2 linked regions of the Schizosaccharomyces pombe genome follow. The gene in region 1 interacts genetically with each later gene. Each region holds a gene or a part of one and is shown on either strand. Other genes may lie near its edges. The genes, in order: hul5 and SPOM_SPAC977.15.

What was found.
Region 2: mutations in hul5 (region 1) and SPOM_SPAC977.15 together harm fitness more than expected from each alone (negative genetic interaction), as found in Schizosaccharomyces pombe (one large-scale study listed by BioGRID).

What each region holds. Positions count from the first base shown.
Region 1 is NC_003424.3:1,544,526-1,550,747, reverse strand, and holds hul5 (ubiquitin-protein ligase E3), read right to left. Parts: upstream 4,487-6,222; 5' UTR 4,245-4,486; coding exon 1,261-4,244; intron 1,203-1,260; coding exon 1,146-1,202; intron 1,102-1,145; coding exon 1,053-1,101; 3' UTR 667-1,052; downstream 1-666. Other genes in the region: protein mug143, read right to left, coding at 250-615; SPOM_SPAC57A7.15C (uncharacterized protein), read left to right, coding at 4,935-5,087, 5,140-5,400; pabp (major poly(A) binding protein Pabp/Pab1), read right to left, coding at 5,922-6,222. UniProt on the Schizosaccharomyces pombe protein: Probable E3 ubiquitin-protein ligase which mediates ubiquitination and subsequent proteasomal degradation of target proteins.
Region 2 is NC_003424.3:61,021-64,681, reverse strand, and holds SPOM_SPAC977.15 (dienelactone hydrolase family, implicated in cellular detoxification), read right to left. Parts: upstream 1,732-3,661; 5' UTR 1,694-1,731; coding exon 950-1,693; 3' UTR 820-949; downstream 1-819.

The sequences.
Region 1 (6,222 bases):
ACATATTATTCATAAATTTGAATTTATCTGCGAATTCCGTTTACTAAAGCCAATTATGAAAACAGGATATATTAGCCAGAGTACTAAACATTTGAAAAGCCTATTAATGAAGGAAAGTGGGGTTAATCATAAACGTGAATGAAATCCATCGTAACTTTCATTCCACAGTTGAACGTAAATCAAATATGTTAACACCAGATTTGGAATTCGATACCAAACACTTTGTGTTAACAAAGAGTCATCAAAGACCTAATTCTTCTTAAAAGCATCCCCAACTTCTTTCGAGGCAAGAATTTCCTTCACCGATTGTTGCAATGCATGAGGAGCATTGCGCAACAATTCGGGATGATGCATTAGTACTTCCTCAACGGAAACACCGTCCTCTTGAGCGGTTCTAACTTTGATGTTGCCAAGTAAGGAATTCAATTTATCTTCCTCTTCATCGACAGAAGGAAGAGCGGACTCTTCTGCAGTGCCTGACTTCTCAACTTTCGAGGTGAAAAGCCTAGCATGTGCATAGGAAGCTCTGCCCAAACTAATTGGTAATATTCTTGTTGCATTGAAAAGATTAAGAGAGCCAAATAATCGAATACCGTTTAGGGAATATCTAATCATTGTGAAGTTCAAAGCTATTGTCTTCTAAGGTATTGAATAATTAAGGTATGTAGTTGGTGGTATTGGTAGGCGGTTTTCGAGCCACTTCAAAACGTCAACACGTCAGTATTATGTCAACGTCATGGAAATTTAAGCTTGTTATTAAGCGAAAATGCTTTTAAACAGTTTTAGTGTAAACATAAATATATACATTGTATTCGCGCGAAAAAAATTGAACTGCATTTATCTATAAATCATAACTCTTAAATGGTAAAACTATAAATTCTAAATAACTTTAAATCCTGATAGACAAAACTGAAACAGAGACTCAACAAACACCAATGACATCAACAAAGAATTCGCCAGAAAAAAGAAAGAGTAAAGCGTTTTATATTATAAAGAAAATAAAAGGAAATAGTTTAAAAATATTCGACAGAACGGTTCTTAGATCAGGTTGATTAACTAAAGCCAAAACCAACACCTGACCTTACTGCGGTTAATAATTTACTAAACATTGGTTAGATTCAATGAAAATAAGCTTAAAAACTTACTCTCTCAACGTTTGCTTTGTACTATACATCGGCAGCTTTAAAAGGTTTACACAAGTACTATAATAAATACGTTAGTAAAAACTTATAGATGCAGACTACAATAGTCATAACCTACCTTGCAGTTGGTAATCGTGTTTCATCTTCCCCATTTACACGAATACAGAAAGAAGGCATAAGCGCTTTAAATCCCAAAATTGGTGGACGAGCAACGCTAGTAACAAACTTAACAAAGCTTCTTTTGTCTTCTTCTTCGAACTCTCGTAAAACTTCCCAAAATAAAACAATAGTAGGTGAATTTGGTTCGTAGCCTCCAGCATAAACGGTATGTCGGCGTAAATCGTCAATGTCAATCGGTACAGGATCACCACCAACTAGTATTTGAATTTCACTTTCATGAAACATTGCTAACCAGTGTGGATCGATAATTTGAGTGAATCCGTTGGTAAACGCACGACATTGTCTAGATAGCCTTGCATTTAAATAATAATTGGAAACCAAATGAATATACTGTAAACGATTTTCATTCGTAACCGAAATGTTGCTTCCATTTGGAATTAGGTCAATTACGTTACGAACACCAAACTCTTCATGAACAACCGTAAAATTGAGAGCCATATCATTTTCTACGTCTCCATCGTAGTTTTTAAGAAATACCAATCCTTCATATAAGTTTGGATCAAGGCTAGTAAGATCGTCAAAATAACTTGGATGCCCAAGCCATTTAGCGACAAAAAAAGATGCGAACGCTGCATCAATCTGAATCCCTTCGTAAATGCATTTTCCAATTAGCATCCCTAAAAATTCATAACAGCGCAATCGTTCAACGTCTTGAGCATATGCATGAGTATTTGGATATAACAAATGAGCCTTTGTCTCACTAAAAAGCCCATAATTAATGTCAAAAACAGTTTTACATATACTTGTTAAAAACTCCTTGGTAAGACCACCTCCATCGATACCTTCTTCAACAACACCATGTTCATCTACAAATGTAATTCGAATAGGACCTTTAAGTAACTTCCCAAAATTGTAAAAAGCGTCAAATCCATCATCGAAAATACGATTTCGACGAATAACTGCATGTTTTAGATGACCAAACGGCTGGGCATAACCGTTAGCTTGTTTATCTAAAAGAAGTAGTTGCTGAAGCAAATGAATGCGAAAATGGAAGGGAAGGAAAAAAGAACAGTTATTTAGGATATTTAGCCTTGGTCGGGACTCGCTGAAGTTATCGAATTTGTAAGTAATATTAATTTCCGCTTCAGCATGTGAAGCCAACTCTGACTCTTGTAGTGCATTAGCTTCAAATTCATTCAAATTGAAATATTCACTCATCAAAAAGAAATCTTCCGGAAGAAATTGTTTTCTTGAATTTATCCTATATAACTGTTGTAAAAGGGAAGTTGACGAGACTCTTAATTGAGAAATATCAACCACAGATTTACAGTCAACATCTTTAGCAGCTTGAACATCCCAGTACAAACCTAAAACTAGATTTTTCAAAACAGTACAAAACTCAGCCATAACTGGATAAAGCGGATTTTGCTTATCGTTATGAAACTCATCGTCGATCATGGTAAAAAGCATGCGTGAGTAAACATCAATTAGTAATTGTAGTTGAAACCAGTAGCCGGAATCATTTTTTAAGACATTTTGAACATCAAACTTCTTATGGAACAATTGATAAACAGGCGATTCGGAAAACATATCCCAAGAAAAACGTGAAAAAGAACGAGTCAATGAGCCTTCGTTAGTTTCTACTAAGGATATATACATAAGAATTGATGTTCGGTTGGATGGAAAAAGTTTTATCATGGTTGCATAAAAATGTGACATAGCTTGTAAAGTATTAGATGACACTAATTTGAAAGCTTTTGTTATAAAAGTAGAAGATATACATTCTGCAAACGATCGCTGAACTATACCAGATTGATTTGCGTAATTTTTAGAAAAATGTTTAGCAACCATTTGAAGATGGCTATAATAATTTTGGGAAAATGCGTTTTCATCGTCTTCATCATCGTCAACATCACTGACCACTTGGATTCGAGAATTTACAGATTCTCCTGAGAAAACATATAGTGCATCTAAGATATAAGAGCAGAATTTCCATAAAGAACTGTTTTTGTATTCCGTGTGCAACAAATGAAGACAGTTTCCAGCTAAAGAGAAAACTTTTATCATCCCCAAATTTAATAAAGAAGAAATGCAGGCTTCTTCGGATAATTGCAAAGACGAAGAGAAAACTTTATCAATTATTAGATCTGGTGGTATACAGTTTTCAATTGAGCTAAAACAGTCCGACGCAAGGACATGAAATAAAAAAGCCGAACTGCTATTTGCATTCTCATCAGTTTTAGAGCTGACAGGTGTAAGTAAAGATAGAGACATAATATCTTCAAGATTAGTCATATTTTGTTTAGGGTATATTTGAGCATAAAAAGTCATAACAGAGTCATAATACGTAGATAATTCAGAACTTTTAAGGTAAGGCGCCACGTATGCCAAACAATGAAGGAGAGATGTTTCGGCAGATGTATCAGTACCCTCTATCCTATGTGAATTAATAGAACTGACTAAGCAATTTAGTAGCAAAGATGAAAACCTCTGCCATAGCCAGGAGTCATTTGAGTTGGATAACGTCTCTTGTACTTTTAATATTTTCACTTTTAGGTGGCTTTTTGGTGTATCATCCATTCCATTCGATAGAGGAATTAAATTTTCCAGCCAAACCAGTATATTATGCGCAACTTGAGAAACAAATGGCAAGTCGATATCAGGCTCAGCAAATAAAACAAGAAGAGAAATAGAGCATTTTATATCTTCCAAAGTATTGAATCTGATAGATGTACGCCCTGATTTTGTGTATTTGTATATCCAGCGCTCCCGGAAATCTTGTTTAAATTTTCGCCTAGCTAAAAAACCTCTAGACAAGGATTGAACGGCAACAGAATTATTTTCTGCTTTTCGTTCTTCTTCTCGATTTTTGCGCTCCATGGCTGCTTTTCGCAACAACTGAGCGCGATCGTTGGAGACACGTTTTCCCCCGAGATTAACATTTCTTTTGGCTTTAAACGTTCCTTCAAAACTTAAAGGCATTCTTCAAAAATTTCTTATATCAATGCGGTTTTTAGGTATCAAATACAGAACTCACAAGTGTAAAAAAGCAAATATAAAAATCAAACAGCCTTACACTCTAATAAGGCAAAGATTTTATGAAAGACTTAGAGAAAATAGAATTATTAAAAGTTTAAAATCTAACCGTTTAGTAAATTATAGCGTTTTAAGAACTTTCGAGATGATTAGGTAAACAAGAACTGCTGGTTTAGCGCATGAGTAACGGTTATATTAATTGAAGTTGGAGGCAAATATCGTCCATGTGAAAGGGTTAACCATGGTACTCTATTCATTATGATGAGAAAAGTAAATTGATCATAGGAGATGTTTTAATTTCTCAATCATAAAAAAAGAAGTATGCTTCAAAATTTGATTGCGTGTCAATACTGATACATGGCACCTCCACCTACATGTTCAAAGTTCCTTTTTTTCCATTGTAAATAAATAACTGCTTATGTTTAAGAACCAGTTTGGTTTGTAGAATTTGAAAAGCTAATTATTTTATAAAATAGTTCTCAGCAGGTATTTATAAATCCAGCACCGATTATCTGATTTAAAGGCATTTTATCACTGTGTATTGGAATTACTACGTTGTTACAAATAGTTACTGTTTATCAATTTTTTACATTTCCAGAATAGGGAACGAATTTTTTTAATTTTACCTAATTCCTCATGTTTTATTCCACCACGAGTTGGTTTCAGAAAGCAACACTTGCAATTGGAATAGGAACAACACTTTACGTTCTATTTAAGGATCTGGTTCGGGACCAAGAAGCAAAAAGTGAATCAAAATCAAGAAAGAAAGTTATGATTCTAGTGGATGAGGTAAATATGTTAAACATAATTTGCTAATTATTTGATTATTAACTTTTATTAGACCACTAGTGAAGAGGATATTAAAAAATGGAGTGACTACGATCTTTTCCTTGCTTCCCGTTCTACTTTGCTTTCAAAACATACCTCCCGATTAGAAAGTTATGTTTCTCATCCTTCTAAAGCTCTTCGGTGTGATGACCCTGATAGTATTCTCACATTCCTAAAACATCTAGATATTAATATCTTGGTTTGGAATGCTCATTGGTCATCTGAACGTTTAAAAACTCAATGTGAAAACCTTGTTTACATTTTAGTGGAATAAATAAAACGTGTTGAACATTTACAAATATTTGTGACATTATTATTTAAGTACCGACTAGTAAAAATGACTGGACTATAAATACTGGCTCTCCCACAAGTACATGTTTTCAAAAGCAAACTACATGATGAAACACAATATTATCAAATTTGTCAAAACTCAAAGCGCCATAGATATTAGTATCTAAAATTAACCCAAAAAAAGCAAAGCATTCAATAATCTACTGAAATCTAATCTTAACTTGAAAGATTTCTACTGATTTACAGTAATAAACAAAACGACTCGCCTGTGAAGCAATATATCAATTCAATATAAATTATCCAACCGGATTTTGCATTTCAAGAAACTATAGGCTAAGTGGAACAAAGGTCCTCGAAAAAAAAACATAAAATGCAAAATAATATCCCTGTGAAACGAATAAACACCCATTCGTCAAGATAAAAGTAAATAAACTATACTAAATTTCCAACAGGCTTAACCCTTATTTCTTCCAATAGTGAAAACTTTCATAGAAATGTCATTCACTACTCAGTGAAGCCAGGCTCTTGATCAACGAATTCTTGCAAAACCCCAATAGCTTCGTTGACTCTTTCATTAAGAGCGGAGTCATCCTCAAGTAACTCCAATAACTCGGAATTAGGCATCTCCAACAACATACCGGTAATTTTACCAGAGAGTTTTTCCTCACGAACGAAAACCTTAGGGTAAAGAAGCTCACCAAGGACCTGCTTCCTGCTTTCCTCTGGAACGGCAGCCAAATCAGCAGCCGTGAATCTTTCAGGCATGCCAGGGACTGCGGGAACAGCTTCAGCTTCAGCAGGACCA
Region 2 (3,661 bases), 1.5 Mb from region 1:
GATTACTGATGTATTATTTACACTTTTGGTCCTATTGTCTAGTATTAATTTGTAGGAGGCGTTGGAGAACGTGAAAATATTGCAGTAGTTATAGCTTACAATTCGTCAAAAAAAGAGAATTACATGCAGAAATTGTTAAACGAATTTACCTGCCGAAATGCTATGTAGATCTGATCTGTAAAGCGAAAACGAAGTAGACAATCACATGCACTGTATGGTTTTTTTCAAAAGACTGACATGTTACTCGGTCGGCGATCATAAACTGATCATTTAGCCAACCTTTCTGATTCTTAGCACTTGGTAGATGTTTGCTGAATACTAGACGGAAAATTACGTGAAATGTGTTGACAGAGAACGCTATTATCCAATAAACATTTTGGACAAACTATTTTGTCTAAAATGTAATTTTTCTTCAAATAAAGTAAGCGATTAATTTTTTATTATGTTTGTTTTAATGAAGAAATTTGAAATCTAGAAAACCCAAAAAAAAATATCTTGCATGAATTCAGTGTTTCCTTAAGGAGATCCGCACACTTTCAAGTTGTCTCGTTCTGTGTTATGAAACAGCTAGTTAATTATAACCATAAAACTAGACCGTAAATCTTTGTACGAATTCGGAAAAAGGTACGTTTTATTGAAGCAGCTAATGGATGAATTTATAAAGCATTCAGCCTAGTTTTTTCTTTTAAGATTGATAAAAATTTTTGTAATTTCAGAAATTTCTAGTTAGGTAGTATATGACGAATATGGAAATAAATTAGGCCGCATTAAACTTTTGAAATTGTATCCTATAATTACTCTCAATTGAAAATGATAATAGTTGCAGTAGTTATAATCACTTAACGAAACTTTATTGAATATGAAATTAACAAATGTTGTTGGCGGTCAACGACAGGTGCTATATTTATTCTTAACTAATCCAAAAATCTCTAAGCGACACCAATACTATTTAAAAAAGTTCTTTAAAGAATTTTAAAAAGATTTGGTAACCTAAATCAAAATATTTTCGATTTTCAGGATCCGATAGGTTGGCTCGAGCTGCCATCCATCCGTGATGCATTTTTCCAAAAGTCTCAAAATACGATTCAGAAAAATATGGAGAGTTTTCGAAACTTTTCTTCCAAGCATCAACTTCCTCAGGATCTTCGTCCTTTGAACATAGAAAGCAAACTGGACAATGAACATGTTTAGCGTCTACAGGATCAAGAAGAGATGGATGCGCACATCCAATACGCAAGAATCTTTCTTTATTAGGATATGTAATCAATACTTTGGCACCCCAGCAAAAACCATAAGCACCTATTTTGACATCTTGACCATGTATCCTTTCAATGTCCTCTATGACCTTTGTTAATTTAGGCCAATGTAGTGGAGAAGAAATTTTCTCCATAAATTTACTACGTGCTTCTTTTTGCTCAATCGTTTTTGGATCTATCATTTCTATAGAGGCTGTTTCACCATTCAGAAAATCAGGAAGATAAATAGCAAGCTCGTGATTTGCCAACTGATCAGCTCCTTCCTTTATTTGTTTACTTAATCCGAAAACATCCATAAATCCAATTAAAACAACTTTACTTGAGCGCTTACCAGTGAAGTAAGTCTGCATCCCTCCAATGTCTTTCAGCATCTCGCCTTGGAGTTCGTAATTACGGTTCGTAGGGGCCGCACCGCTTTTAGTTGGGCAGCAAGGCATTTTTTTACTTCGAATGTAGTAAATAGAGTAGAATTTACGTTGAATTAGTGCTCATTTTGAAATTATATAAAGTATAGTCGGTACAAACCCGAGGAACCGAGGGCTCCGTTTTCCGCGGAGTTGGCCATAAACTAGATATCCAAAAGTTACTAAGGAATAAAAGATATACAAATGAATTTAATTTAGCCAACATGCAATCAGAAGATTCTGTATATGAATTTGCTTTGGTAATTAAAGTACGTTTATTACTAACTTGTGAAATGCTTCCAATTTAAAAGGGCTATTATTTATATAATATAAAGAATCTGTAGCATGACCAATATTTATTTATATACTTAACATCGAAGAAAAACTATTGATTTTCATATACTGTTCGTATCGTATGGCAATTGTACATAAGTTTAATAAGACAATCCATATGTAGCTTGATGGGATATGAACATTATTATGCATTAACTTTCTCAAATGTCTTAATTCTTTAGTTAATTTATTTAATTCTTAAAAATAAAGAAAGGTATTTTATAACTTTCTAGAATACTACTGAGTAAGTTCAATAAATAAGGAAAACCTTTGAATCTGAAGCTAAAATATCGATTTGGAAAGAATCGGCTAATGGCTTTGTAAATCTGCGGTAGTATGTTTTTTCTGTATCTTTGGGAAATAAGATAACCCGAAAAGTACAAACGTTGGAAGTGAAAGTAAGTGGAAGACAAAAAAAATTACTGCGTTCTGAGAAATGATTAAATGAAAGGGAAAAACGAGTAAACAGTGATATCCTTAAGCGATTTCCCTTTGATAGTGATATTTATTTTTTTTTGTAGAAGAAATTGACGAAGTAAAAGACATCTTTTTCATTAATAAAAAAATTAATTTAATAAGCAACTGAAGATCTAACATGTATTTGCTTAACAAGTAACTGACCGTTGGTTTATTAATGATTATGAAGAATAATTTTTTTTTTAAAAAGAGTCTTTAATGAAATAAATCATTTTCTACCGTTTTATAAAATTTTCAAAATATTTATTTTTTCGACCATTACTCTGCCAAGCACGAACACTTAAGTATATCATTTCAATTTTGAAATTATTATAATTTCTTAATATATTATATCTACTCCATAAACAAGGCCCTCAACTGTTTTAAAATACTCGAGGAGGCGTGCATATTAGTAACCGGATGAATAAAAGTAAAGCAACTAAAATAGTTAATAGAAGGAAATATTTATGAATTTATTCTTCGGATCTTATTATATGAGAAATTTAAAAAAAGCATAAGAATAATCAAGATAAGCCGAACCTTAAATACGAAATTATTCTATTAATTAATTTATGAATAAATTTAAGTCACACTTAAATAGCAAACATTAATGAAGAACTTTTATTTGGATTCTTAGTAGACGAAGTATATTAAATTCCAGTGAATTCAGCAGATTTAAACATTTCGTTATTAAGCATAATGAAATTGAGATTATTCCTTTGAAGTATTTATTCGATGCAACAGTGACACAGAAAAATGCTTTGCAGATACAATATGAATGCTGCACAATTTTTTATAAAGTATGCACAACAACTTCTTGAATAGGCAGTTTACCAACAAAGTTTATTGAGATCATAGTTATTATATCCGTAATATTCCAACTTTTCTCACACTTTGAAATATCTATACACATTTGCTTATGCTATGATCGCTAACACTTTATTATGGTGAATAAAAGAATATTTAATGAGTCTAAGTTTAAGACGATGTATTTATACATATTATTGTTTTTGCATGCTTCATATACTAAATTAACGATTTATTGTAAAAAAAGAAAACGAGGGTTTCAACGTCTACTTGAACATTTCAATCATTACACAGAAATATTGAACAAATTGATACAACATAACCTTTTATTTATTCTACTAGTCAAACAGTTGCTTACATATATGTAGATGTATTAGAATAAAACAACCGAAATCCTTGTTTGTT